Mytilus edulis: one gene and its partner. The protein of the gene in region 2 interacts with the protein of the main gene of each other region in a pairwise test. Links are inferred from orthologs where the notes say so. Each region holds a gene or a part of one and is shown on either strand. Other genes may lie near its edges.

The links.
Region 1: the proteins of proteasome subunit alpha type-3-like (region 2) and GATOR complex protein Iml1-like interact in a two-hybrid assay, tested with the Caenorhabditis elegans proteins (2 studies listed by BioGRID). The link is inferred for Mytilus edulis from reciprocal best matches to the Caenorhabditis elegans genes pas-7 and depd-5.

Annotation. Positions count from the first base shown.
Region 1 is NC_092349.1:82,684,940-82,693,377, reverse strand, and holds the start of GATOR complex protein Iml1-like, read left to right. Parts: upstream 1-4,870; 5' UTR 4,871-4,908; coding exon 4,909-4,966; intron 4,967-7,495; coding exon 7,496-7,589; intron 7,590-8,188; coding exon 8,189-8,238; intron 8,239-8,438. Other genes in the region: large ribosomal subunit protein uL16m-like, read right to left, coding at 812-981, 2,673-2,732, 4,712-4,766.
Region 2 is NC_092346.1:25,014,533-25,022,658, forward strand, and holds the start of proteasome subunit alpha type-3-like, read right to left. Parts: upstream 3,494-8,126; 5' UTR 3,389-3,493; coding exon 3,368-3,388; intron 645-3,367; coding exon 562-644; intron 192-561; coding exon 68-191; intron 1-67. Other genes in the region: 2-aminoethylphosphonate--pyruvate transaminase-like, read left to right, coding at 3,683-3,827, 4,921-5,058, 6,084-6,184.

The DNA of each region.
Region 1 (8,438 bases), on a different chromosome or scaffold from region 2:
AATCAGTTTAATTGAAGTCTGGAGCTGGCATGTCAGTTAACTGCTAGTAGTCTGATGTTATTTATGTATTATTATCATTTTGTTTATTTTCTTTGGTTACATCTTCTGACATCAGACTCAGACTTCTCTTGAACTGAATTTTAATGTGCGTATTGTTATGCGTTAACTTTTCATTGGCTAGAGGTATAGGGGGAGGGTTGAGATCTCGTAAACATGTTTAACCCCGCCACAATTTTGCGCCTGTCCCAAGTCAGGAGCCTCTGGCCTTTGTTAGTCTTTTATTATTTTTAATTTTAGTTTTTGTGTACAATTTGGAGTTTAGTATGGCATTCATTATCACTGAACTAGTATATATATTTGATTAGGGGCCAGCTGAAGGACGCCTCCGAGTGCGGGAATTTCCCGCTGCATTGAAGACCTGTTGGTGACCTTCTGCTGTTGTCTGCTCTATGGTTGAGTTGTTGTCTCTTTGACACATTCCCCATTTCCATTCTCAATTCTATTTACATATTCACAGGGTAAATACTGTTCCTATGTATTTATTTCATGTATCATGGAATATTACCTGGTATTACCTTGTAGTAATAGTCAATTATCCCGTTTTATAACTGAACACCAAACAGTTTTCTGTTGGTAAGTTAAACTCAGTTTTTACCATGAAATGCAGAGTAGCATTTTCTTTTTCTTGGTAATTTCTTTTAAAATGTTCTATCTGTAATGGTTTTTATATTTCAAAGTTCACCTTACTATGACTTTGGGAGGTGTATTTTTTTGTTTAATTTATTACATATATCTGTAACTTTTTAAATACCTGTATTCCAAATTGTCCGTAGATAAGTTTGTTATTGACCATCTCTGGCCCTCTCATATGGTCCAACATTTTAGACATGGTAGGAGGTTTAGCAGAAGGAATTGGGTTCTGTGGTACTTTGTCAAACTGTGACAGTTTACTCCTTAGTCTATTTACAGGTAGTTCTAAATCTGTAATATAACAAGATTCATATCATAATGTGTAATATTAATTTTCACACAGACTACATTAAAGTCTAACAAAAGGCTGTTAGAGCAACAGCAAACCAGATTTTTTTTATTGATTATTTGTGTTCTGGTATTTTTCAAGGACCACAACTCCTGATCATAAAAAGTAAAAGTGACAATCGTCAATACTGAACTTGACCTTCATTTTGTCATCAGTAAAAATGTATTAAAATTTAAAAAGCTTTGGTTGAATGGTTTATGAGTAAATGCATGGACACTGTTTGGCAGCCTGCCATATGGATACCCCTGTGCCCTCTCGCAGAACATCCACAAGTCAATAACTGATTTTTCCTTCTAAAATCAGGATAAAATGTATTGTTACCAGCAAGTTATAATTAAGTGAGCGTGCTTAATCATCTAGATAAAATTCTTATTTCTGAATTTAAATGCAGTTATATAACTTTTTAGATTTGCAGACAGTGATTGAAATTGTTCATTAAGGTGGCTCTTAAATGTAACTGAAGGTAGATACAACATATTAGGATAACAGGCAGTGATTGAACAGGGTGAAATCTGACAATGCTTTAGATGGTAGAATAAATCTTAATCATGAATAAAATGATGTTTGGGGTACATGTCAAAAAGACATCAACCTTATATAAAAAAAATAATAAATAGACATCTAAAAAGGAATCAAACAGTCTTTAAAAGTAGATCATATCTATAAAGCAATATGTCAAGATACAAATCATCTTAGTCACTCTATACAAGTTGTGAATAACTGTCAGAAACAAAACTCAACTCAAATTCATGAGTTAACATTTTTTTTTTAAAAGTCACAAATGTCATAAAAAAGTCTTAATTTGTGACAGCAACAGGAAACATTAATGTGGTAGAATTATACTTATTGTTTTAGATCTTGATCCTTTCAAACTAAGCAATACATGTGTAGTACCATCAATATTATAAATAGTAACTTCTTCTCTGATTACATTCTTCTGTATCATAACTTATACTGTGTGTATATATTTGATTCAATACTTTTTCTTAATGCTTTTTATAAAACATACTAATTCTTTGTTTGCAGTGAATTTAAAATGTTTCCTTGACATTGTAACTGTACCATGTTTACTCTTATCATGTTTATGATTTTTTAAGATACATGTACTAATAAATTATAAAACAAGAATGTGTCCAAAGTACACAGACGCCCCACTTGCACTATCCTTTTTCATGTTCCATAGACCGTGAAATTGGGTAAATATCTAATTTGGCATTAAAATAAGAAATATTATGCTATAGGTAACATGTGTACTAAGTTTCAAGTTGATTGAACTTCAATTTCATCAAAAACTACATTGACCAAAAACTTTAACCTGAAACTCCCACTTTAATTTTCTATGTTCAGTGGACCATGAAATTGGGGTCAAAAGTCTAATTTGGCATTAAAATTAGAAAGATCTTATCATAAGCAACAAGTGTACTAAGTTTCAAGTTGATTGGACTTCAGCTTCATCAAAAACTACCTTCACCAAAAACTTAAACCTGGAGCAGGACAAACAAACGAACGGAGCCACAGACCAGAAAACATAATGCCCCTCTACTATCGTAGGTGGGGCATAAAAACATTTTTAAATGAGCCAAACACTGAAATCTCAAATACAGCAGAAGGTTTAATTATCAATCAAAATTACCTTCTTCCTTTTCTGGCATTTTCAGCTTCATGTATGTGGCAACCTGAGTCACTTCTGACCCTGAAAAATAATCAAATTATCTAATTAGCTACATGTCAGAATATAACACAAAATCCCCTTTTTTATTACTTCAAATCATCTTTTTATTGTACAGGAAAGTCGAAGTGAGTTTTCCAACTAACAATGACTAAAGATACTTTAAAAGTATCATCAAACATGTCAAATATCAGACCAATATCTTCGAATTCAAGCAAAGAAAAAATTGTGGAAAAACTTATTTGCCTGAATAACAGATGGACAGACAGACAGGTAGACAGATAGAGCACAAACATGTAGTTTAAAGGTAATTTATATAATCAGAAACCGATCTAAAATAGAGAATTGAAATGGGAAATATGTCAATGAGACAACTACAACTGAACCACCAATGGGTCTTCAACGCACAAGAAAATCCTACACCCAGAGGCAGGCTTCAGCTGGCCCCTTAATAACAATGTGTACTACATGTAGTTCAGTGAAAATGTACATCAATACTTAACTCCAAAACATCATGCTACCCAAATTGTACCGATCAGAGTTTTGTGGTAAAAAGTATTCTGCATAAGTTGCATAACATTTGGTTGAGTCAAACTTAAGTTTAAGAACTGAAAAAATATCAAGGATGGAAAAAAATATTCATCATATTTTCATTTTATTTATAAAGGGCATAACTCTAGAATGGTTATATTAAAGTGACACTACTTAAATTCACACTTGATCTGTATTGTAATAAGCATTGTGTGTAAGTTTCATAACATTTATTTAGGCAAACTAATATTAGAGAACGGCAACTAAAAAATCAGCAATATTTCCACTTATAAACATGATAAAGGACCACTAGCTACGAGATACATTAAAAATCTAACACATTATTTCTTTTGCTCAATCATTAATGAAATGCAAATAGAGAAATAATAATTCACTTTTAGCAGCCAATATGGTTCAATTTTGTGAAAATAAGCTAAAAAACATTGATTATGATTCAATCACTTGCAAGTGAATAATTCTACCTCATTCATGTCATTGAATCTGTATTCATGTGAACTTCAATTTAACCCCTTAGCTTGAGATGGATAACATGTGAATTATATGTGTAAAGTTATTTAAAGGAAATTAATGTCAACATTGAAAGTGAAACAAAGGTAAATCATTTGATTGACTTATTTGATCCAAACACAATCATTCTTATACAGGTAAAAAAAAGGATAAACATGAATTTTTAATCTATAACATGAAGTAAATAGACCTAGAAAAATCCAACAGCACGAGTTAGCTCCATCTATCTATATTTATATTTATGTTTACATCGCATGTATGGTCATCAGATGACTTTAGAGGTCAACTCTATAGTTAATTGGATGGTGTATGGACTAAACTACACACAAAACGAAGCTATGTTTTTTCATGCCAGTGTCCTGTTTATTGTTTATTTTAGACTTTTAATGCATGTAGTTTTGATAAATGTTTTTATACATTGTTATAAATCAAATATGAGAATTGTGTTCATTTCGGTGAAAATGAATTTGACAGTTTGTGCCCCTTTAAGTGCACATGATGTCACCAAAATCCAAACTTGATCTGTGTTATGTGGTAATAAGCATTATGTATAAGTTTCATCACATTTAGTTGAGGCAAACGTTAGTTAGAGAACCGGAAACCAACAATTTTTTTTCAGCTTATCGAGAATGAAAGTAGAATGAAAAAGATATCAGCTGATCATTCTTTATACTAAAAATAAAATATATTGTAAAGGTTACTATACAAATCTTGAATACAGAATGCACCCTAAAATAAAGTGGAAGGAAAAGCTGAACATATGTTAGGTTCCGAATTGTCTAACCGTTGGCAAAAATTATGCCGAAATGACTTTTATACATAGGTGCCGATTTGATCCCTAATCATATCTTTCTAAGAGATTTTTGCTACCGTGAGAACAACTGAAATAATCACATATATCGAAAATGATAAAAAATTGCTACTTATTCAATAATTTCAATTACATTTTGTTAGCAAAAGTAAATGTTTTCTGCAAAGATTTTTTACAAGACAGTTCATTTTTTGTTCTTCGATGTAGGCTATTCTCTTTATTTTCCCTTTACGCAAATTCGTAAATGTAAGCGTTTTGCAGACCATGCATTTCGTATGTTTCTCTCGGACTTTATCCATCGCCGTACGAAAAAACCGCCACCAAAATGAAATGGAGAATGAAAAGATAAAAAAGCTTCATGTCCATAAAAGAAATCCACAAGATGCATGTAAATGACATTTCGTGATTTTTGTTTAAATTCATTTCAAAATCTTTTTACAAACCATGCATTCGTTACAACTGTACTGTGTACATGAGTAATTTAATTTGCAATGTAGCACTGTCTCTTCTGAAGTTCTGTCAAATTATGACAAATATTTTGAAATTATTCATGACATCTTGGAAGGCTGTTATTTTCTGCAAAAAAAAAGAGGGTGGCAAAGGGTTATTTTTGTGCAACGTTTTCGGTCTTTTTCTTTCTTTTTTCGAGTTTGGTTAGAAGTGCGTGATGTATGAGAGCAAGACTTAATAGTTAAGATAGTAATTTAGTCATGGCTAATCTATCTACATCTACATAATACTAATAAATATACAAGTTGTATTGCTGTAGTGACGTAACATAATACATACCTGTCAACCTCTGAAAATGAAAAGTCAGGTCATGACCTGCATTGAGAAAAAAAATCTCAGGTCATAACGCGTACGACATTTTGCGGGCTCAATTGAAGAAGAAAAATATGTTTACATATAATTTATATAGTCAATATGTATATGAAACAGTTAGAACATGTATACAAGTTTATTTCAGACTATTGTTATATTCCATAGTAGCAGACTTGGCATTCTTTAAAAGAACTGCACTTGGTTTCAGTTCATAGCAATGCAAATGTGTATTCATTTTACAAGAAAGAAGAGCACACAGTGTATCCTTATTAAGATCAGCCCTAAACTCTGTAGCTATTTTCTTTACTAAAGAAAATGCCCTCTCACTGTCTGCAATGCTGTTTGGCAAAACCAGTAATGTTTTAGCAAGTTTTGACAAAACAAAAAATTTTGGCTTGTTAATAAAAATGTCATGCAACTTGGACATTTCTCCCCAAAATGTACCAATGTCAGTTTCAGGGGAAGTGCAAAGTGGAAGTTCATCTAATGGGGTCAACTGATAGTCACTGAACTCATCTTGTAGCTGTGTTGTCTCTTCATATCGTTACGTAGCTCAGGTAAACAGTCCTACATTTTGACTTTTGGTTACATTGAAAAAGACCGATAAAACCGAAGGTCGTATTACTTCTAAATACCGGAAACAATTCCGGTCAGAAATCTGGGTGAAACGGGTAATGTTAGAAATTCCCGGGACCCGCCGGGTAAAGAAAAACTCCCGGGTGAGAGGTGAAAATAACGGGTGTCACCCGCAAAAAACGGGTGAGTTGACAGGTATGATAATACTGAATATCCTAAAGGTTTTTATGGTGTTTTCCCAGAATAATCTAAGATATCCTACTGTAGTGTATAATCGGTCGTCTTGTTGGTTCATTCAGACTTTGTTATTGTACTTATTACACGGGAAAACTCCGCATTGACTCCACTACGCTAATACCAACTCTCAAAATTAGTGCAGAATACATTTGTTCTACTCTTCTAAATAAAAGAACATTTCTAAAGATATGTCGTCCTGAATATGCATGAAATATTTGCCACTGGACGTCAAGCAACCAACAATCAATCAATCTAGAGATATGTTTTCATAGTTATTCAAAAGTATTTTATAAAAATTGCCAACTTGCCAATTTTCTAATGGCTGTTTAAAACCTGACTTCCAAATTCCTAAAACATTTCAGAACTTCACAAATTCCACTTCTGACCTCTATAGCTTTGTGTACATTCCATTAAGCGTCATCAATGAAGGGGATAGGACCTTTATCAGTATTCCGGGAACAGGTGTTTTTAAGCTCGGAATTTCAGGATTGACCCTTATGGGATCCGGGAATTCTTTTTTTCCAATTTCGGGATGCAGGTATTTAGATCTTTTTAAATTCAGGAATATCGTGTTTTAAAGCCCAGGTTTTCAAGATCAGGACCCCTCCTACACCCCCCCCCCTCACTCAATCTTAGTGGCAGACAAAACAGGTCATGCAAATCATATTTCTAAGAATTTCAAAATGACAAGCACCTTACGTTTGAGGGATTTTCCCACTACAAAAAAACATCCACAATAAAAATAAAACTTTGGGAAAAAACAATGTTCATAGATATAGGAAGATGTGGTATGAGTGCCAATGAGACAACTTCCAAGTAACAATTTTATAAAAGTAAACCATGACAAGTCTCAATTTACAGGCTCTTGAACTGAATTTTAATGTGTGTATTGTTATGCGTTTACTTTTCTACATTGGCAAGATGTATAGGGGGTGGGTTGCGATCTCATAAACATGTTTAACCACGCACATTTTTGCACCTGTCCAAAGTCGGGAGCCTCTGGCCTTTGTTAGTCTTGTATTATTTTTAATTTTAGTTTCTTGTGTACAATTATAGAGTTTAGTATGGTGTTCATTATCACTGAAATAGTATATATATTTGTTTAGGGGCCAGCTGAAGGACGCCTCCGTGTGCAGGAATTTCTCGCTGCATTGAAGACCTGTTAGTGATCTTCAGCTGTCGTCTGTTCTATGATCTTTTATGGTTGGGTTGTTGTCTCTTTGACACGTTTCCCATTTCCATTCCCAATTTTATTTATAAACTTTTTTGTTTGCTATTTTAGTTTTAGGAAATGATATTTTGATCAATCCTAAAGACTTTCCTGACGTTGTTCTCCGAGATATTCTAGAGATTCATCATTCTGATAGTGATAATAGGTAAGTGTCATCAAGTAAGGGAGATAACCTAACAATTCTTTGTAATAACTAATATATATATATAGTTATCATGAACTCAGTCGTGGTATCAGTGATGATAATTGTTACGGTAATTGTATTGCTGTTTTATTATTTCGTTCCACTGTGTAAACCCCTGTATGTATATGTTCATTTGTAATTGGCATTTGATGATAGTCTAATGTCTGGACTAAGTGGACTTTTTTTCAATGTTTTTTACTTCCTTACTCACTTTACATGTTTTAATTCATGTACATGTATAGGCATTTAGCTTAATACATGTAAAATGATTTTTGAAATAAGAAGTTATTGAATTTTGACAAATGAGGTTTATAGGTTATGAAAGTAATTCTGGAAAAAAGAGTTGATTTATCATGTTTATGAAATCATTAATTAATTTTAACTGAAAATATTTATAAGTATGATGAAAGAAACAAGAGGAAGATGTTGAGTAAACATAAAAGAGAAACAACCCAACAACATCAGAAGGGGTCTGTTAGATATTAGATTTTGTTTGCCTATATTTATTATTCAAGAATTAAAACATTGTAATTTAATGTATGCTCTTATTCTAATTTTAGTCGATTACTGCTACAGGTGACAACAGTGACTGGTGAATTTCAACAGAAAGGTACACCATTTTATTAAACATTTGTGTTTCTAGATTTTTGTGCCCAGTGACAAATATGACAGAAACAATAGATTTACCAATCTTGATACATCTAGATCTGTCTATGAAGATTTTGTAACTTCCTTAAATTCAATATTTCAGACTCCCAAGGTTAAAAACATCAATGACATTACCCATTAAATTGATTTTATAAAAGTGTG
Region 2 (8,126 bases):
ATATGAAATGTCCGGCTGGCTCAAATATTTTTTGGAAGCCCTGCTTTGGACCTCAAGAAAAATTTACCATTCCTATATGTCTGTCTATATTGAAGATCCTTTTGTTAGCTCCAGCTTCATATAGTTTAGATGTTACTAACTTCTCTACACCAAATACTACACCATCTTTTCCCTGTATTCCTATAGCAGTGCTGAAATGAAGGGGAAAACACATGTGGGTTGAAATTTCCTAAGTGAATATTTGTAGTGTACAATACTTAAAATCTCTAAAACATCATCAACAACAAAAACAAAAGTTGATTTGCCCATTATTTCACACAATTGCAATTAATCTTGAAGAAATTAGCTTTTAGTTCATGTGTATAAATGATGCTTTGTCGGATTCTGGTTCTGATTTCCAGTTTTTCACAATTTGAAACGGAGAGTTTGCACTTGCACTTTGCAAATCAATAAGCCATTTATGAATGGTGCTGTTCAATCAAATTCTCTCATGAAATTTGCCAATGAACCAATAATCTTTTCAAACCTTGATTATGTTTGGTATAACATAAATACACTTACCCACTGTTTTCAACAGCCTTTAATGCATATTCCACTTGAAACACTCTTCCATCAGGTGAAAACTGAGAAGCTGACAAGTCATACTGAAATATATTTATATATATATTTAATTAAAACTTAGGCATCTAGTAAATAGTTGACTGTTGTTAATATTTTTGTTTTTACTTTTTAAAATTCATATGCATTCATTAGCATATATAACTGCAAGATTTGGTTGGTGCCTAAAATCACTGATAGGTTTATTTTCTTTGCTCAAAATCATGATAATTCTTGAATACATATTTAAAGCAAGACCAAGCAAATTTCAGTGCATGTTTCTATATCTATTTATTTCAAATAAAAATTACGATTTAGATATCTTGGTGCTAAATTTATTTTCTTGTCGCTTAATTAGCTTTTTTGTTGCTTTAATTATTCTTCTTGTTGCTAATTTGTGAAACCCATTGTTTTGAGTTAAATTGATTGCTATTTACAAAGATAAGGTCCTAAAATGGCCCCATTTTTTAGTGTAAATTTCAAATTCGGATTTATTGACCAATATCTGAATATCACAATTAATTATAGCTAATACAGTGACTAGATAGGAAATAAGCCATTTTGTTGAAAAATTACGTTCCTGTGTTTTATTATGACGTCAAGTTGTATTCATGTTGATTTTCCACGAAAAAATCAATGAAAATTGGTAAATTTCCATAGATTATTGGACAGGAAACATAGAGCATTTACGTCAACAACAAAGATCTTTAAAATAATGTTTGTGACAACATTTCACATGTCTTTTTTTAATATGTATTTTGTCAACGCCTCCACTCTATGTTTCCTGGTTCTAAATTTGGTTAAAATTCAGCTGATTTTGTCAAATTTCACAAAAATCTCTTATCTTGACCATTTTGGGGTATAAAAATTGAAGTGTTAGAATTAAACTTTGTTAAAAGTAGTTTTATTTAACTTTATCACGTCTTTAAGTCAACTTAAAACATTTTTTGTCTTTTAACATTGAATTTTAAAATCACGGCCAAATATGGCCCTTACCGAACTTACTCCTTTTTAAAGCTATTTCAGAATTATTATTATATGTTTGAAAATCATTATTGCTGTTATTGATGTTCCAGTTTTTGTGTTATTCATTTTTGTGTGTGGCAATGTCATTGTCACCAGTTTGATAGCCTTATGGTATCTTCTTTATTTCTTTTACAAGTCATAGATGAATGAACTTGACTTTTGATCATCAATACAATATTCTTATTCATTTCAGCAAAACATGGACTATATTATACTAACATTATCAGTATGTCCTAGTTTAAAATAATTCACAATTTGACACAAAGCACTAAAGGAAATGTGTTAAAAGTTTTTGTAATGTCACTATTTTAACACAATAAAATAAAAGCCTATTATCTTATTTAATATAGAGCCAATTACGGTGCACTGTCTGGGAACTCTGCCCACCTAAGGCTTTAATCGTGTGCATTTCTTCTTTAATAAATGAAAATTGCATCAAATTTGATTTATATGTATTCACTGAAAACTCAATGTTACATATTTTATCTAATTTCCGTATACTGCGCATAGATATATCTGAAATGATTTGAAAATCAATCAGACTAATGGGTCACCTGTGTTTTTCACTGAAGTGTGGTTGTGACTGTCCGGTAAGTCTGCCCATGCGTCGTAAACATATATGGATGACCGGTTTATCATATATTAAAGTCATATGAAACGAGTGAGTGGTGAAAAATAATGTTTATCCAATTCTTGAACCAATGCATGTATATATCATAAACTTAGTCCTCTGTGCACGATTTTTCATTATTTTCGCAAATATATCCTATAATCGTCAATATTTTTTCTCTCTGTTTGTTATGATTTAAAAAATATGGCTGCTCATTAAATGCCGTGTTTTGAAGCCGAGTTTTAACGATTGTCATCTTAAAGTAAACAAATCACAAAAAGCATGGGTATTGAGCACGTGTTTAACATGTAAACTCAGATATTTGTTTATTTCAATACAGATCCATGCGTATTGCGATTACCAGATTTTTACGAGGAGGGTTACGCTCGGGTCACTATGCATACGGAAAATATGTCGGCGAATTGCTTCCTGGAAGCAAGCAATTAAAAATAAGTAAACTTCTAAATGTGGACAAATTAAAGAATTTTCCTCAGAAAAATGTATATGTACATAAGTTGTATAATGAAAACTATCCATTTAGTTATAAAAAATATATGCATATTTTTTTTTTAATTTGAGGTTTCTTATGACTTTAATGAACAAGAACATAAGGAAATGATGTTTTATTAATGGACCCCTTATAGGCTAGTACAATACACCTTATCGCTAATCCCGGCTGACCCAGCCGCTTGAACTTTTGACGTCAACAACAATCACTTTTCCATTGTGGCGTCAGATATTTTGTTTTATGACGTCAAAATTTTACGGGAATCTGTGTGATTTCCAGCAATGGCGGACAAATAGCGATAAGGTGTATAAGAATGGAACATTCTCGTTGTCATGGTTTTCTGTAGACACATTTTGTGTTTGAAATTTGAACTCTCATTTTTTGCAAACTGATCATCCAGAAATGTGTTTTAAACTGACAATTTAATTTTCAAAACTAATAGATACATGTACATTTGTACAAAAGTCATGGATGGAGTACGCAAATAATATTGGGTGAAAATTCCATTTATTCCTAAAACCAAAGTAGATAAATGACACGCAGACCTTGAAAAATTATCATAAATTGTATTTTGAAGATGTACACCGAAGTGGACAATTCACTAAATGGTGCGGTTTTTAACTTACACCAGTTCCAATAGAGCTCATGTTGTTGCTTTGTCATTTACCGACAGGAAGTTTCAATCTAACGTGGTCCCTCGGTAGTTTTCTTTAAATTTCGATGAAAAGAACCGAGAAGCAATAAAAACTAAATCCCAAATTCGGGAAGGACATGACAAATATTTGTGTAGGTAAGTGCTTCAATAGAAAAGTTTGAGTGGAGTAATCACCCCTTGCATAACAAGATATGACTAGATAAAATTCAATATATGCAATGTGTCACTGACACTGGTTGTAATCTTGGTGTCATTAACATTAGCACCCTGAAACTGATCTATTAGGATGAACAAAATCACTTGCAATACATTGAGAAGTTATGTTGCTTTTACTAAGTTTCAACATAAAAGTTACCAGGTACCAAATTTCCTCTCTGTTTTTAAGATGTCTCATGTAAATCATCAGAAGTGTTACACAAAAGATGCACCAGGTATGTGTACACCTGAACTATTTATCGCATTTCCTTATCATTTATATTTCGTTAAATTATCTAAGTGATGTAAGTATTCAAGCGTATTGTTATGCGTTTACTTTTCTGCATTGGCCAGAGGTATAGGGGGAGGGTTGAGATCTCACAAACATGTTTAACCCAGCTGCATTTTTGCACCTGTCCCAAGTCAGGAGCCTCTGGCCTTTGTTAGTCTTGTATTATTTTAACTTTTAGTTTCTTGTGTACAATTTGGAGTTTAGTATGGTGTTCATTATCACTGAACCAGTATATATTTGTTTAGGGGCCAGCTGAAGGACGCCTCCGGGTGCGAGAATTTCTTGTTGCATTGAAGACCTGTTGCTGACCTTCTGCTGTTGTCTGCCCTATGGTCGGGTTGTTGTCTCTTTGGCACATTCCCCATTTCCATTCTCAATTTTAAGTAATATAATATGTGAGGAAAATGTGTAACAGCAATTTATTCATTTAGTCTTTGACAGTTTCTTGATATTTGTTGCTATGGTCAGTATTTCCCCCTTTTTTGTAATGTAAAAAGGGAGCTTCTGTATGAACTATAATGACACCTTTATTATATAACATCAATTACGGTATCAGAACATCCAAATACAGAGTACAAAATATATATACACAAACAAGAAAATCAAAAGCAATGGTATCTTCTTACATAGGCGGATCCAGCCCCCTCCCTTTTGTTGGAAATATTTGGTTGATTATATAGGGAATCACTGAAGCGTGACTGGAGCGGGCCCCCTTACAAAAAGTTCTGGATCCACCACTGTTCTTATGCTAGACATAATCAACCTTACATGTTTAAATAAGAATATGTCAACACAATTTAAAGACAACAATACCGTTTTTCTAATAACATTGATTCAAATTACTTATTTTCTTAAAATTCTGACATGATTTTGTGCATCATAAAGGCCAACACTTATTAATGATGATCAAAAATACCTTTTAATGTGATTCAAATGTATGCCTATAGTCATAACATAACTACCAAATGATTTGCTGAACAAAAACCTTCTGTATAGGGAAAATGCACAAAAATATGATACATGTGTATTTTTTTCAGAAAAAAAGTTATTTACTCCAGGACCATTATCGACCTCTCCTACAGTCAGACAAGCAGCATTTACAGAATATGGTTCAAGAGATGTAGCCTTTATAGAAGCAATTAAAACTCTCAGATCAAAACTAGTAGAAATAGCAGGTATTTTAAAATATGGGTAATCATAGGTCCCCTCAGGTGTATATCCAAACACAATTAATATTTATTTTATCTCTGTTTTAATTGATTCAACTTTTAAGCAATCTTATTGAAATATTAACCCTGTGTCCACACTTTTTCTACAAGGAACTGACAACACTCTGTTCTACTATCATTTTTTAAGGATGTTCTTACATGTCTTAGGTGAGGTTAGTTAAAAATTAAGAAATTAAGAAATGAAAATTGATATTATTAGCTGGTAGAGCATCAATTAAGGATAAAGATAAGCTAATAATATTGATAGGTCATGGACCTCCTTTTCAAGATATTTGAGTATTAAAATATGTTGGGAAAATGCTGACTCGGACTTTTACCTTATATTTGCATTGGTATAATTTGGGTCTCAAAACAAAAAAGAAAATCAAGAATCTTCTAAAATTTTGGTAAATGACCTTTCATGAGCTATTAAGTCTAATATGAAAAAATAAATTGGTGTTATGGGGCAAAATATTTTACATTGTATTGTATGGAAAACACCAAGGAGTCCGAACATTTGACACAAATTCCTCACCTAAGTACATCCTTAAGACCTTTCTGGATTCTCAGGTTTTGTCATAATGTTACACACTTTCAAAATTTTGATGGCTGTAATTTCATTGGCTGTTGTAATATTTACCAGAGCAGAAAGTAAAACATAGTGTTCTTAAATCCTTCTATAAGTGAAGTGTGGACACTGGATCTATATTAAGATCAGATTGACCATTGAGATAAAACTTGTGAAAAATATCCCTTCATGTAAATTAAATCAGCTGATCAGAATCAGGACAAGAAAAACATGAAAATAAGACCTTTGTAAAAGAGGTTTGACCTAGAAATATGTAAAAAAAATTGTAAAAATAAAGCTCTTTACAGTATAAGAAATGAAAATAATTGTTTTAAAATAACAGTATATATTTTTTGTGGAATATACCAAGGAAAAGACAACTCACTTGCCACAAGTTTTACTTGGCTTGTTTTTTTGCTTGTAGAAGTATCCAAAGATGAGTTCACATGTGTTCCAATACAGGGAAGTGGAACCTTTGCTGTGGAGGCTGTATTCCAAACAGCTGTCCCCAGACAGGGAGGCAAGGTAGTTAATACGCTATAAACATTTTTATGTTATTTATTTATTAATTCTGTATCATCTAAGCTATTAATATCCTGTTGGTTTTTTTTTTTATTTTACATCGCCAAAACTTTCGCCATAACAGTCTAGCAAAATAATAATTTTATAAATGTGACTTGACTATTGCACTTCTTCCTATTAAACCTAATTATTGAGCTAGTGAAAATGGAAAAACCTTCAATGGTAAAGCTGCCATCACATTATAACTTGACTAGTGCAATATTTACAAATCTCTTCACTGGTTGTTTCTGTTTTTTCTATTTCATGTGTTTCTTGGCTTTTAATTTTATGCCACAGATGTTTGTTGCTGTCTCTTCTTTATCCTCATGTGTTCTTAGCTTTTAGTGTGCATACCACATATGGTTGTTGCTGTCTCTTCTATATCCTCATGTGTTCTTAGCTTTTAGTGTGCATACCACATATGGTTGTTGCTGTCTCTTCTATCTCCTCATGTGTTCTTGGCTTTTAGTGTTCATGCCAAATATGTTTGTTGCTGTCTCTTCTATCTTCTCATGTGTTCTTGGCTTTTAGTGTTCATGCCAAATATGTTTGTTGCTGTCTCTTCTATCTTCTCATGTGTTCTTGTCTTTTAGTGTTCATGCCAAATATGTTTGTTGCTGTCTCTTCTATCTTCTTATGTGTTCTTGGCTTTTAGTGTTCATGCCAAATATGTTTGTTGCTGTCTCTTCTATCTCCTCATGTGTTCTTGGCTTTTAGTGTTCATGCCAAATATGTTTGTTGCTGTCTCTTCTATCTTCTCATGTGTTCTTGGCTTTTAGTGTTCATGCCAAATATGTTTGTTGCTGTCTCTTCTATCTTCTCATGTGTTCTTGGCTTTTAGTGTTCATGCCACATATGGTTGTTGCTGTCTCTTCTATATCCTCATGTGTTCTTGGCTTTTCGCGTTTATGCCACATATATTTGTTGCTGTCTCTCTTATATCCTTACATGTTCTTGGCTTTTAGTGTTCATGCCAAATATGTTTGTTGCTGTCTCTTCTATCTCCTCATGTGTTCTTGGCTTTTAGTGTTCATGCCAAATATGTTTGTTGCTGTCTCTTCTATCTTCTCATGTGTTCTTGGCTTTTAGTGTTCATGCCACATATATTTGTTGCTGTCTCTTCTATCTCCTCATGTGTTCTTGGCTTTTAGTGTTCATGCCACATATGGTTGTTGCTGTCTCTTCTATATCCTCATGTGTTCTTGGCTTTTCGTGTTTATGCCACATATATTTGTTGCTGTCTCTCTTATATCCTTATATGTTCTTGGCTTTTAGTGTTCATGCCACATAAGTTTGTTTCTGTCTCTTCTGTCCTCAGGTGCTCTTGGCTTTTGGTGTTAGGTTACATATGTTTGTTGATCTTTTCTATCTCCAAGTGTGGTCTTGGCTTTTGGTGTTCATCAACATGCCACATATGTTTCTTTCAGTCTCTTCTATCTCCTCATGTGTTCATGTTCTTGGCTTTTGGTGTTACTGCCACATATGTTTCTTTCTTTCTTTTCTATCTCCACATGTGGTCTTAGCTTTTGGTGTTTAGGTTACATATGTTTTTTGATATCTTTTCTATCTCTGAGTGTGGTCTTGGCTATTGGTATTAAAGTCACATATTTTAATGACTCCATGAATGTAAAATTCAACCCAAATATTAATACATGTATAGAGATATAAATTTACAAAAAGCATTTATTTAATTATTTAACCAGAAAGCAATTAAAATGAATATTATAATGTACAGCTTGTAAAATGAAATTCATTGCATACTGACAAATATAAAAAGCGAAATCAAAATATTCAATTCTTTTACATTCAATTAAAATTTGCTAAATTTTAAATTGAAATGAGTTTAATCCTTATACATTATTAGCTCATTGGGCATAATGAATTGACACTTAACAGATAAAGGTTT